Danio rerio: one gene and its partners. The main gene of each other region encodes a partner of the protein of the gene in region 2 in a complex. Links are inferred from orthologs where the notes say so. Each region holds a gene or a part of one and is shown on either strand. Other genes may lie near its edges. The genes, in order: wtap, mettl3 and rbm15.

Region 1 (4,030 bases), on a different chromosome or scaffold from region 2:
TAAGAGACCATTAGAATCTCAGCATTTCAAACTAAAAATTAAAAGTCAATGGAGTATGCAAGTACGTATATAAAAGGCTCATACATATTTTTGCTAATAAAATTCCATGATTTTTCTAAGACTTACAAGTAAATATTTATGGCCTAATGTTTCATGCATTATCTACATATATGAGGTAAAAGAAAAACAATGCAAGTTCAAATTTATTACAGCATATCATAAAATACGCAACAATCCATTTAGTTTCAATTTATATCTATGTAAATTTGATTTAGATAATGCTTACACCGCACTAATAATTTGAGAGTATATGATTGGCCAAGGAAGAAAAGTAAAAAACCTTTATTCAAGTATACAGATATCCAATTTCCATGACTTTTCCAAAACTTTGTGGCTTTTGTTTTTCCAAAACTTTAGCAGGCCTGGAAAACACCATGTCAAAATTCCATGACTTTTCTAGGTTTTCTATGATGGTATGAACCCTGTTTATATAAATAAAAAACTTCAGCTTTGAAACTAGTATACAGTTAAAGTTTTAATTTTTGAAACAACTGTTTAATACCAAGCTCATTGTCTAGTTAATGAGTAGCTTGTATAACTGAAGTGCTTTGATGTCCCAATATTAAACAATCACCGCAATGAAAACTAGTCTAGTTGAAACTCCAAACCCTATTCGTAATGTCATTTGTACCTGCTACAAATAAAGTTTGTGCCTGAATGTGAAAGTTGCAGTAAAAGGTGGAACACTGTAGACATGCACAAGCCTGCATCCGCCACCACTTGCATTTGTTTTGCTTTATGCCAGCATGTTGAAATGTTGGAAAATTTATGCTCATATCCGCTTCAGTACAGCATGATAAATTACAGCTAGAATTTGCATGGCCGACATTTGAAAACACATTTGACTAGATCATAGCAGCTATTACATTTGCAATGTTTTTTGATGTCTCACAGATCATTAGAAAAAGAAATGCATCTGCTATATGTAAACAAAAAGAAATCATCATGGTGGGGACCCATGAGCAGAAGCAGCATCTCAAATCACATGCACTCTTCTTGAGTGGATACTCATTTTGAATAACTTACTATTTGCACCTACTTATAGTAGGGAAGTGTGCAACTTAGGCAGCACCTACAAAACTCAGACACTCAGTACTACTCAAACAAACTGACATATTTCCAAGAATAGACTTGATCATAAAGCAGAAGTAAACAGATGTAGTAGTGATTAAGAAAAAAAAGAAAAAAAAACTTACTGTACACTCTTGCATTTCCTGCTCTTTTGTAGCAAGCCTCATCACCAGAATGTTCTCTCTGCGTGCAGATTCCTGCTGTTGCTGCTTCAACTTCTCCTCAGACTCTTTCAGGCCTGTCACGTCATTGGCTGCAGACATTTCAACATGAAACAAATGCATTAGTTACCAACAATTCATTTTATGCAATAACATTACTTTAACACAAAGACTGAACACTCTGTGCTTGAGTAAAGCACTCAAGACTATGAATTATTCAGAACATTTAAGATGTGCATACTTACAGTTTAAATCAGCATATTTCGCCTCAAGCATCTGGACGTAAGTTTCATGCTGTTTCCACCTACACCCGGAAAGAAAACATACCAGCATTACAATCAAGAATCTTTCAACTTGCATACTTTGTTTTTGCGGGAGAGAGAATGGTTACATACCTGGTACAGAGCTCCTCTCGAGTCAGCGTCTTCATGTCAGATTCACTAAGGCGAACCTGCAAGTACATAAAAAGAAAATAAAGACTCATAAAGAGACCTTGTTCAGGAGAAAGAATCATATAATCAGATTAGACTGGGACAAAGAGCTCACCTTCTTCGGGAGAGGTTCTTCATTGGTCATTCTGATCTCTGCAAGACAGAAGCATACAAACCAAACACTTAGTAAGTTCAAATAAATCAATGAATCAAACCTACACACGCAATTTCAAGCAACAATATGCAGAAAAGATTTAGAGACAGTTGCATGGATTTCACACGCCTACACGTGTGCTATAACGAATATAGGCCACCAGGCGAGGGAGAGGTTGTTGTTTCTCAATTACAACAGATATTGTGGAGGAATTTGCTTAGTTAAGGCCAATTATTCACTTTCTGATAATTAAATGCAGCAAACATGTGGAAACAAACTAAACTGCGAAAATGTGAAAAAATATCACTTAACATTTTGACCTAACCTTAACTTACTGCTAAAACGTTATATGCATCTTGAATTGCACATTTAACGTATTATAATCGAAAAATGCAAACTGTAGCCCTTAAATATTATTTCATATAGCCAAACAAGAAGGTTAGTTTCGTAATTCAGGCGAATTGAGTTCGTCAATTAACGATTTGACTTGGTAAACGCTCTGCGCCGCAAACAACCGCGCGCCATTCTCATAGTCTCAGGAACGGTGCTCGTTACTCCCGGGGAAGACATGAAGAACTTACGTAGCCGATAATGCAGATTCGTCTTAAAACATAGACAATAAATGACTGCAGACGCACAGGAATAAAAATGTACCGGCGCCTTCTTGGAGCATTTTCGCTGTCACAAAATGGCGGAGAAGGAAGAGACTCTCCCTCTCCGAGAAGCAGCACTTTATCTGAAATAGCCGTATTAAATCCCTACCACTTACCAGAGCCGGTTCGCCTCGACCAGAATGACACGTATGTCTTCCAATGTGAGATACGAAAGAGTTATTTTTATTAATATAGTTCTCGGGATAGGGAAAATGTTGCGTTTTTTATTTAGACGAAAGGTAGCCCGTCCGCCATGACCAGCGTGTGCGCGATGTTCAGCCGCACAGCATCAGTGTGTTCGTTCGCGCGAGCGCTGAGGAGGAGGAGCACGTTCCTGTCACTGTGTTGCCAGGTTGATATTGAACAACAGTGCATCTTTTACAGTACAACAAACAACCTATTACAATTATGATAACATAGCTTATTTATAACTTACATGCATACATTCAAACGTTAATGTATATAATCATTCATTTATTAATTGACTTCATTTTTGCTTTGTTAGTTAGTTAGGTGTAGGTAGCTAGTTGTAAAAGACAAATTACCACACAAAACATACCGACCACCACGACATCAATAATAAAGGCACAAGAAAAGAAGGACTAAAATATATATTTTGTGTGTCCTGTTTAGTGTTTTCCAAAAGTCCTTTCTCATATCCGGTTTGTTTTCTGACACGTTTCTTTTGATTGATCTGGCAACCCTGGTATGTAAGCTTTAATGCTAACTAAACGATAACACGTTTTACTCTCTCTATATACATACATGATCAAGTTAATTACATTAGATATTCGCCATAGGAATTACGATCTGTGTAATTCTTAACCCATTGCTTGTAATCTCTTTGCAAAATTACTAAGTGGAAAGAAATTGAGCTATTCATTTTGCTTTAATGTGAAGCAAAACAAAATGTACAATCCTAATAAATCAGGCAACAAAAGTTCTAAAACGAAACCATTTATTTACTGTCTCACTCTGGACCTAGGCCTAGAATGACTGACTGAATTACACCAACTGGGACAGGGGGCATGGTTTTTGCACCCTCTTTACATTGTAGTACTATCGATCCCTTGAGATATATATAATATATACTATGCTCTCAAATATTCATAATTTATTTTTACACGGAAATATTCTTTATAGTTTAGTCTGCAATCAATAAAAATACAAAAAAAATTTTCTCAGACCCCTATTTTGACAAAATGGTATGGTCTAGTCCAAGTTGAAGTTGAAATTTCAAGGGCAGGTTGTAATGTGGCGAATTTAGGTCTGTTGGTTGGTCGCTTGTATCACTGTGTGACGGACTAGAGCATGCTGTGCAGAGTCGGATATGTTCGGAGGTAATGATAAAGCCTGAATCGGTTCTAATACTATATGCCGCTGTCTGAATATCAAATGTTGTTTATATAATCAATGGCGGTATTAATAACCTGCGCACATTTACCTGTTTGGTTGAGCGTTTAAGCGGACAGCAATAGTTTACGTAAGTAATATTACGAG
Region 2 (4,104 bases):
GTCGTACCATGGACGCAGCAGGCGCAATGACATTACACAGCACTATTGATAAAAGTAACAGTAAAGTTTGTTAATTGTTATGCCAGAATGCTATTTATTAGACTAATAAGCCTAAAAAATAGCAACTTTTCATTTTCTGTCAGTCTTGTTACACAATGTAACTACAGAAGAGTCAAGCTTTAAATAGGAAAATAATCAAAATACTTTTTTTGAGCAAGATGCTAATAGTCTAATCTGATTCAATTATCTATGCTAAGCTAAGCTAAGCTAAAAGTGCTCCACATAGATATCTATGATTAAAATCGTAACAGTTTAACTCTTGGGGTCTTGTTAAATGAGTCTATTAAAAAAAAAAAAAAAAGAGTAGTATTCCTTTAACACTTTTTGACAATCTAACAGTTATTCTAAAAAAGGGTGGAATAATATTATTAATAATAATAATAATAATAATAATAATAATAATAAAAAGATATGGGTTCAGATTCATAGCTGTTAGTGCACACAGCTCTTACTGTATTTAGCTGGTTGGTGATCGTTAGGGAATCAGTTGGCAGGGAAAGGCTCAGTTCAGAGAGGTATCCCAGCAGCCTCTTCTCTAGCTCTGGGTCTGGAGGATGCTCAACTTCTACTTGTGGAGGACTCTGAATTGCTGGTCCCGGGCTGTCACTTCTTGCAGATCCACTCTCAACACTTCCAACCTCTGTTAAAATAAGAACTGTTAGGAAATTCTCATACAGCAGGTGGCATCATAGACTCACTATTTCGACACCGCTGAACTTTCTTTTAGCATACATTCAAATGTTTTTACCATTTTGATAGTACACTTCTGATAGTATTAGATATTTCCACGTTTAGCATTTGAATTCAAGTAAATAAATCTGATTATATCAGAAACGTGGTTTACAAAGGTAGTTTAATGTTTAGCAAATAAAACAAGAAAAGAAAGAAAACACACAATAACATGCAAAACAGTAAATTATTCATTCATTCATTTTCTTTTCGGATTAGTCCCTTTATTAATTTGGGGTCGCCACAGCGGAATGAAGCGGGATGTCCTTCTAGCTGCAACACAACACTGGGAAAATAGTAAGTTATATAATTTTACATTGAAAATGATACATTAATTATACATTATACATTAAAAATAACAGTTACGCTAATATTTCTCACAGAGGACTGATATCGAACATCTTTAGGTCTAGGATTTGTCAACAACATATTGTTATGTATGTTCTCCAGCTGACAAATAAATTCATACATCACATTTGTCATTAAAGCAGGGAATGGTTGTACTCTTGCCTAACAGAATAATAAAAAAATGAAGCACAATCCTCATAGTCATTTTACACAACCTGCAGCTTAAGGAGACTCTTTCAGCTAAACGTAAAACCACAAAAGAGCTGTATAAAAACAATTACAATTTGCTCTAAAGGGACTTATCTTAACCTGTTATTAATACATAACGTTCTCTCACCTACATATTTGCTTGAGCATACAACTCACGACGTTGCCTGTACATATCATCATTATCTCTTATTTTATTGTTAACGATAAAGATATGCCCTGGATGTTTTACAATTTTTAATACATTTAAAAAGTGATATGATAATAAAAATCATAAAACTGTCTTCTTTGTTTTTACATATCACACAAACAGTTAAAAATACACATTTTATTTTTCAGATATCAGATAATGTAAAATTACTCAACACACCAGTGCCCAGTTGAGTTGGGTCTTTTCTTCTCCTCTGCAGCCTCTCTCGTAGTGAATCCAGCTGCTTTTTGTGCGCCTGGATGTGACTCCATGTGTCCGACATGGCTTAAATTAAACGAGCTAAACAGCAAATAAACAAACAGTACTGATTAAACAGGGGTTTTATGAAGTTTAGATTACATCTAGCAAACTAACGCTGAGTGACTGTACCACCATACACACCGTGCCGCTAAACTGTTTCTATTTTCAAAATAAGAGACACTAACTATATTTACTGATTAGCAACGATCTCGTTCATACAGGTACTTTTATATTTTTACGTATTTTAACTCATATATATTTTTAATTAGGATTCAATTATAACTATTTGATATACGAAATAAAAATAGATATTTCCCCACCAAGAAAAGAACAGTATGTATTTTGTAATCACATAGTGTATTACTTCCAGTGTACGCAAGACGTCTTCCGGAATGAGAGATAAGACAGATCTGTAAATAAGCAGATTCTTTATCTACCAGGAATTAAGCGCGGATCTGAAACAAGCTCTTCTAATTCAAGGTACTACTCTTACTCAAAATCCCAAATTATACATCAAACATTATATATTAAAATCTATATCCACTAACTTAAGTGGCAATGAATTGGAAATGTTTGTGTAAATGAGAACCTGCTTCGTAAACAAAATGTTTCTCGAATGTGATGTGGATGTAATATCTTATTTAATATACAGCGTTATACCCTGAAATATAATGCACGCCCAGTGTATATAGCCATTCACGAATGGATGATTCATATGAGTCGGTTCATTGTGGGGAATCGTTTAAATACATGTCGTTAAAATATAATTCACACATCATTTATATGTAAAATTGTTACGAGTCTTATCTTTAAAACGCGAATTAATGTTCTGTTTGTGCAGCACCTTTCAGGTGATTCGACATGGCTGAGCCACGAAGCCCGGTGTCCGCTTCTGTGCCCCACAATCCAATAGTCCTGGCTGCCCCCGAGGGCTCGACCCTTGAGATGGACCCAATAGAGTTCACCCTCCGCAAGCGACTGCCTCGCAAACTGCCCAAACGGAGGAACGACGTCTATGTCAACATGAAGACTGACTTCAAGGCTCAGCTAGCGAGGTGTCAGAAACTTCTGGACGCTCACAGGGAAATCTGCATCCACGGCCTGGGACTGGCCATCAACCGGGCTATAAACATCGCTCTGCAGCTCCAGACGTCCAGCCAGGGCGCCCTGCAACTCGCCGCAAACACCTCCACGGTGGAGCTCATCGACGACCTGGAGCCTGAAGATCCGGACGAGGCCGGAGAGCATCTGACCCGTACCCGGAATAACTCGGCCATCCATATCAAGGTGTTTTACCCCAATCCGTAGTTTCAGCTTCAGTGTCAATATAATGAATGAGGGCTTCATGAACAATTGTATGACGTTAGTGGCATGTAGAAGTTTTTTAAAGTGATGCATTATTTATGATTTTTTTCTGCTTCAAGACTTTTTTTTTAATTAATTGCTGTGTTATTGAATGTTTTATTTGAAAAACAAGAAAGAAATGTGCCATATGTATTTTTTTCTACTATGTATTTGTGTTCTTGTGTATAGTAAACTTAAATGGAAAGTAAACAGCTTAAATGCAAAGTAAACAGCCCCACCAACACTTTGTTGATTGTATCTTCCTGCATGTGTATGCATATTAAGACAACAATATATTTTAGATATTATTATTATTAATTTTATAAAAGGGATAGTTCACCCAAAACTGAAAATTCTCTCATAATTTTCTTCATCCCTTTACCTGTCAGAAACTTGTTTGAGTTTTTGTTTCTGTTGAACAAGAAATAAGAAGAAAATTTACAAAACTGTGACCATTGACTTCCATAGTGTTTGATTTCTACTTTGGAAGTCGATAGTTACAACATTATAACATTTTTCAAAATATCTTCTTTAATGTTCAACAGAAAGAGGAATCTCATAAAGGTATGAAACCAAGTGATTGTGAGTAAATTTTCACTTTTGGGTGAACTGTCCTATTAATAAGAATATAATGATGGCAAACCAGTATATAATAAAGGTAAAAAAAAAAAATAAATAAAAATAAAAATAAATAAATAAATATATATATATATATATATATATATATATATATATATATATATATATATATATATATACATACATACATACACACACACACACACACATTTAAACATTTTCATCAAATCTATCTTAGTTTTAATAGGAAAAATAAATGCATTTTAATAATTAATTAATAGCCTTGCCAGTACCATGTTAGGCTCCCTTTTGGCTTAAAAAAGGCATCGATTTCTCTTTGACCACATTGCATTTCTGTTTATGATGGATGCATTTAGCATATTACC
Region 3 (4,094 bases), on a different chromosome or scaffold from region 2:
GCAGAGCAGGTAACAACAGCTGCCCTTTACTCTAGTACCACTTCTGCTTTAGAGAGCATGCAATTAAGAGACATTAAGAGAAGCTTGCATTTAACAATACTTTAGTGTGTATTATGACTGTTAAGATGCTCCTCGCACAACGATCATGACCAGGAAGTCCTCTTCTGTTTTGGCAAGAGCTTTCGCAGAAGAATCTAAGAACTGCTGAGAGAAATCACATGGTGGAAATGCGTGCAGGACGCCAGTGTTGTCCTTATCTCTACTGCCGCCGACGGGCAAACTGATGACCCCGGCGGCCTGCTTTTGCTTCAGGTATGAAACCAGGTTGCGGAGAGGCCTCTGCGTGGATGCTGCTGGGTCTGATGATGAAGTCTCCTCAGAGCTGCCTGGAACTGCCAGTAGAACTGCGTAGCCTCCTGGGCCTGCCACTTTGATGCGCCGAGACACCTCGTCGATCTTGGGCTGGTCTAGACGAAGCCGTTGTGTGATGCGCAGCTGAGAGACTTTTCCACCCGTGCTGCCGTCGATGAGAAGGCTGGTGGCGACGCTCAGGTCCCCCTCCAGGAGGTGCATGCTGGCTGGGAAGTTACTGTTCTTGAGGAGCAGCATGCCATTCCAGGCCATGCTCAGCTTCCCCCCTGCGTCCTGTTTTGAAGCTTGGTTGCTTTTGGAGCTGCTTTCGGATCTGTCCCTCTTGGATGCACCTTTAGCTGAATCGCCCGCTTTGCGCTTTCGTTCTGCAGGGCTTGCGCCGATGCTGGACTCAGAGAGGTTGCTGTTGCTTTTGATGCGTTTCTCACCGGGAACTCGGTCCAGGCTGCTGCGGCTCTCTCGTGCTGGGGACACCCGGTCTGCTCTCGCTGGACGCTCAGAGTCACTGAAACGTCCGTCTCGGCTGCTGCCGCCTGGGCTGCCCTCAAGCGACGGGGGTCTGCGACGGCGGGCCGCCCACTCACTGCTGCTGTCAGGCGAACACTCCAGATGTCTGCCGTCCTCCATGAGCCGCCGTTTTCGTGCAGCTTCTCTGCCTGGCAGCTCTCGCTCCAGTGACCAGGCCTCTCGCCGTCGTTCACGCTCTAAGTGTTCAAGGGGCTCAAATGCAGGAGTTCGTACACGTTCACGAATAGTAGGTGCTGGCCACTCAGCCCCAGCATAGAGTTCTCTTTCTCTGAAGTGCAGTGGCGGAGGAGTCCGTTCTCTGACCCTGATGGCTTCAGGGGTGGCACGATGAACGAAAGACTCAGCCATGATTTCATAATGTTGCAGGGGGAGGGGCTGCAAGAACTGTTGTTGGTAGCGATGCTCTGTGTCAGCAAAGTCCACCCTCAGCCTCCTGTCAGGACCACCAAGAGGAAATCCACGCATGTGTGTGCAGGCTGCCTGAGCAGCGTCCAGGCTTTCATACTGAATATAAGCCCAGGTGTCCCCTTTTCTGTAGTCTATAGTCCTAATAGTTCCAAAGCGGTCAAATTCCCGGGCTAATGCAGTCAGAGGCACCCAAGGGCCAAGACCACCCACCCATAGTCTTGTGGTTGGGGTGGCTTTACCATATCCAATTTTTATGGGGTTTCGGCCCACAACTTTCCCAGACATGCTAATTTTAGCTCTGTGAGCCATGTCCAAATTCTCAAATTTAAGGAAGCCATAGGTGCTGCTCTGGCCACGAGTGGGTCTTTTAATGTCCACCTCAGTGATTGTCCCAAATCGTTCAAAAGCCCTCCTCAAATCGTTTTCAGTCACAGTAATATCCAAGTTACCCAAAAACAGTGTGCGGTTGGCTCTCTGGTCGTCCTCTGGAGAGATAAAGTCCTCCTCACGGAAAGGAGCGGCTCGCTCTGCTATGTATGCGGGCCGCGCCCTCGCTTCATAAAAGGCAAACTCTCTTTCTCTTTCCAGCTCTCTGGGCAGAGGCGGGGGTGGGGGAGGAGGAAGCCGACCCAGTGCTAACTGCTGTAACCGGTAGTCCCTGTAGCCCAGGCCGGTTGGAGAGAGCGGCCTCTGAGTATGCAAATGTCTATGGCCTGCAACAACAGAGAAATGATCCTCCTTCACCGGAGAGCGACTCCTCCGCCTGTTCAAGTAAACTGCCTCGATTTTTAAAGGACGGTCGTAGAGCACCAGCCGGCCTCGTGCGTGCTTTGCCGCCCTGGCATCATCCGGTCTCCTAAAGTTGACGAATGCGATTCTCTCGTCGTTCACTCGGCTGATTTTGACGCTCACGTCACCAAATTTTTTGAATTCATGAAAGAGGCCGTCCTCGATTTCCTCGTCACTCAGCTGCGAGCCAAGCTCGCTGATTTTTAAAGTTTTGTACTCACTTTCGTTTGTGGGAAGCGGTGCGCGCGCCTCCCCGCGCGAGTTGGTGCGCGCCGCCTCTAAGGACAGACTCGAGGCGTGATTTTTGCCGCTTGAGCTCGCAACAGGGCTCGTGTAACCGTGGTTATTACCAGTCCGACTGGATACATGTCCGTCAAATTCCCGTCCGTCTCTTTTATCTCCAAGCAGTCCCCGTCGTGCAGAGCCCCCGTCGCTTTTAGACGAACTATTGCCGTTGTTGCTTCCTCCGCCAGAATTCGAGATAACCCCCATTTTCTTACTGGTCGGATGGCTTCCTCCCCTGTCTCGTATATCATCCAAGGCCCTTGAACGTTTTTTCACCGGCGACCGCTCTTTACCTTTCATGTTAGATGTCCTCTGGCTTCACGCGCCTAACAAAACACTTTTTTAACTGTAATGCTACCGCAACGTCAACGAATTTGCACGATAAACTGAATAAATTGTTCAGTGTCCCTGCGGCAAAACAACCGCATACGCCATCTTGTCAAGACTAAAACATGACCCGCCCGTCGACTTTGATTGGTTTGAATCTCTGAGAAACGACAGCGCTATTGGCTGATCCGTCTGTCAATCTAAAGCACTAGTACAGCGCCCAGTCTCGCTGTACACCATTTTAGCTTCAAAAGCCAAATGTTTACTATAGCCACTTTATAAAACACAGAGGTGACATTCAACTAACCACACATATAGTCTTTGAGAACATGTACTGCCAATATTATATTTGCTTCTTAAACCATATTTATTAATCATCTCGATAAATCTACAAAGAGTGCTTTGTATAGGCTATTTTTAAAATTAAACGGTGTTTAACTTTAATAGATGCTAAGAGTCTGAGTTTCACCTACATGTTATTTCTTATAAATTTAAATGAACTGTGCAATCTTTATAAAACGTAAGTAATCCAAATAAAAAAAAACTAAAACATTCTCGTTGTTCACTTGATGTCCAACAGATGGTGGTGTTTGCCTTTCACAGAGGTGAACGGACGTGAAAAAACAGCCTTTTAACCATGTCGGTCAGCTATAGATGAGCATTTTCCATGGGTTTTAGCCATTGGTTTTAGCCTAATAACTGAAATAATTTCTTAACTAAAACAATGCAGATCTCTGATTATATGCCCATGTCTGTGAATTTTTTTTTATGTTAAATTGTAAAAAATAAATAAATAAATAAATAAATAAAAGTAATGTTATTGCCTTTAAATTAGTTAAAATTTATCTTAAAACAATTTAGTGTTTTACAATTTGCATGCTTTACTCATACCCTCAGGGACCATTATAGTTTTAACTTATACAATTATCAATTCAACCATCAAAATTAAAAAAAATTACCCCCAAATTATTATTTTTTTCAATGAAGAAAAATAGGAATATATTTATAGGACAATGCTTTGAACTTAATACAAAAACGTCCAAAACCTTAAATGAGTGATAATAAAACAAAATACAACTATTTTAAAAACTTTATCATGCACATAAACACATTCATCCAATGTTGATTCACCAGAAGACAAATTGAACAGCCAACGTGTCATTTATTTATTTTTTACAATGCACAAACTGCATTCAAAATCAAACACTTTCTTGAGTATTTGAGTAGGCTACATACTTTGAAAACACGCCCTACATAATGAACATAGTATTGTTTGAACAATCTAGAACTACAAGATTAGCCATGTTTTAGTGTCACGTGCCCTACATCTTCAGTTACGTCACTTCACTGGCATTCACAGATCCTCTCATGTTGCCTTATGGAAT

The links.
Region 1: mettl3 (region 2) and wtap share a complex: the UniProt entries of both Homo sapiens proteins name them as parts of the WMM complex. The link is inferred for Danio rerio from reciprocal best matches to the Homo sapiens genes METTL3 and WTAP.
Region 3: mettl3 (region 2) and rbm15 share a complex: the UniProt entries of both Homo sapiens proteins name them as parts of the WMM complex. The link is inferred for Danio rerio from reciprocal best matches to the Homo sapiens genes METTL3 and RBM15.

The regions. Positions count from the first base shown.
Region 1 is NC_133195.1:33,721,989-33,726,018, forward strand, and holds the start of wtap (pre-mRNA-splicing regulator WTAP), read right to left. Parts: upstream 2,804-4,030; 5' UTR 2,647-2,803; exon of another isoform or gene 2,459-2,646; intron 1,877-2,458; 5' UTR 1,869-1,876; coding exon 1,839-1,868; intron 1,744-1,838; coding exon 1,688-1,743; intron 1,597-1,687; coding exon 1,538-1,596; intron 1,385-1,537; coding exon 1,257-1,384; intron 1-1,256. Other genes in the region: sod2 (superoxide dismutase [Mn], mitochondrial), read left to right, coding at 3,842-3,870. UniProt on the Homo sapiens protein: Associated component of the WMM complex, a complex that mediates N6-methyladenosine (m6A) methylation of RNAs, a modification that plays a role in the efficiency of mRNA splicing and RNA processing.
Region 2 is NC_133182.1:21,870,000-21,874,103, forward strand, and holds the start of mettl3 (N(6)-adenosine-methyltransferase subunit METTL3), read right to left. Parts: upstream 2,657-4,104; 5' UTR 2,640-2,656; exon of another isoform or gene 2,637-2,639; intron 2,276-2,636; exon of another isoform or gene 1,937-2,275; intron 1,920-1,936; exon of another isoform or gene 1,835-1,919; 5' UTR 1,818-1,834; coding exon 1,715-1,817; intron 701-1,714; coding exon 513-700; intron 1-512. Other genes in the region: pop7 (ribonuclease P protein subunit p20), read left to right, coding at 2,657-3,103. UniProt on the Homo sapiens protein: The METTL3-METTL14 heterodimer forms a N6-methyltransferase complex that methylates adenosine residues at the N(6) position of some RNAs and regulates various processes such as the circadian clock, differentiation of embryonic and hematopoietic stem cells, cortical neurogenesis, response to DNA damage, differentiation of T-cells and primary miRNA processing.
Region 3 is NC_133183.1:26,684,699-26,688,792, forward strand, and holds the start of rbm15 (RNA-binding protein 15), read right to left. Parts: upstream 2,830-4,094; 5' UTR 2,683-2,829; coding exon 121-2,682; 3' UTR 1-120. UniProt on the Homo sapiens protein: RNA-binding protein that acts as a key regulator of N6-methyladenosine (m6A) methylation of RNAs, thereby regulating different processes, such as hematopoietic cell homeostasis, alternative splicing of mRNAs and X chromosome inactivation mediated by Xist RNA.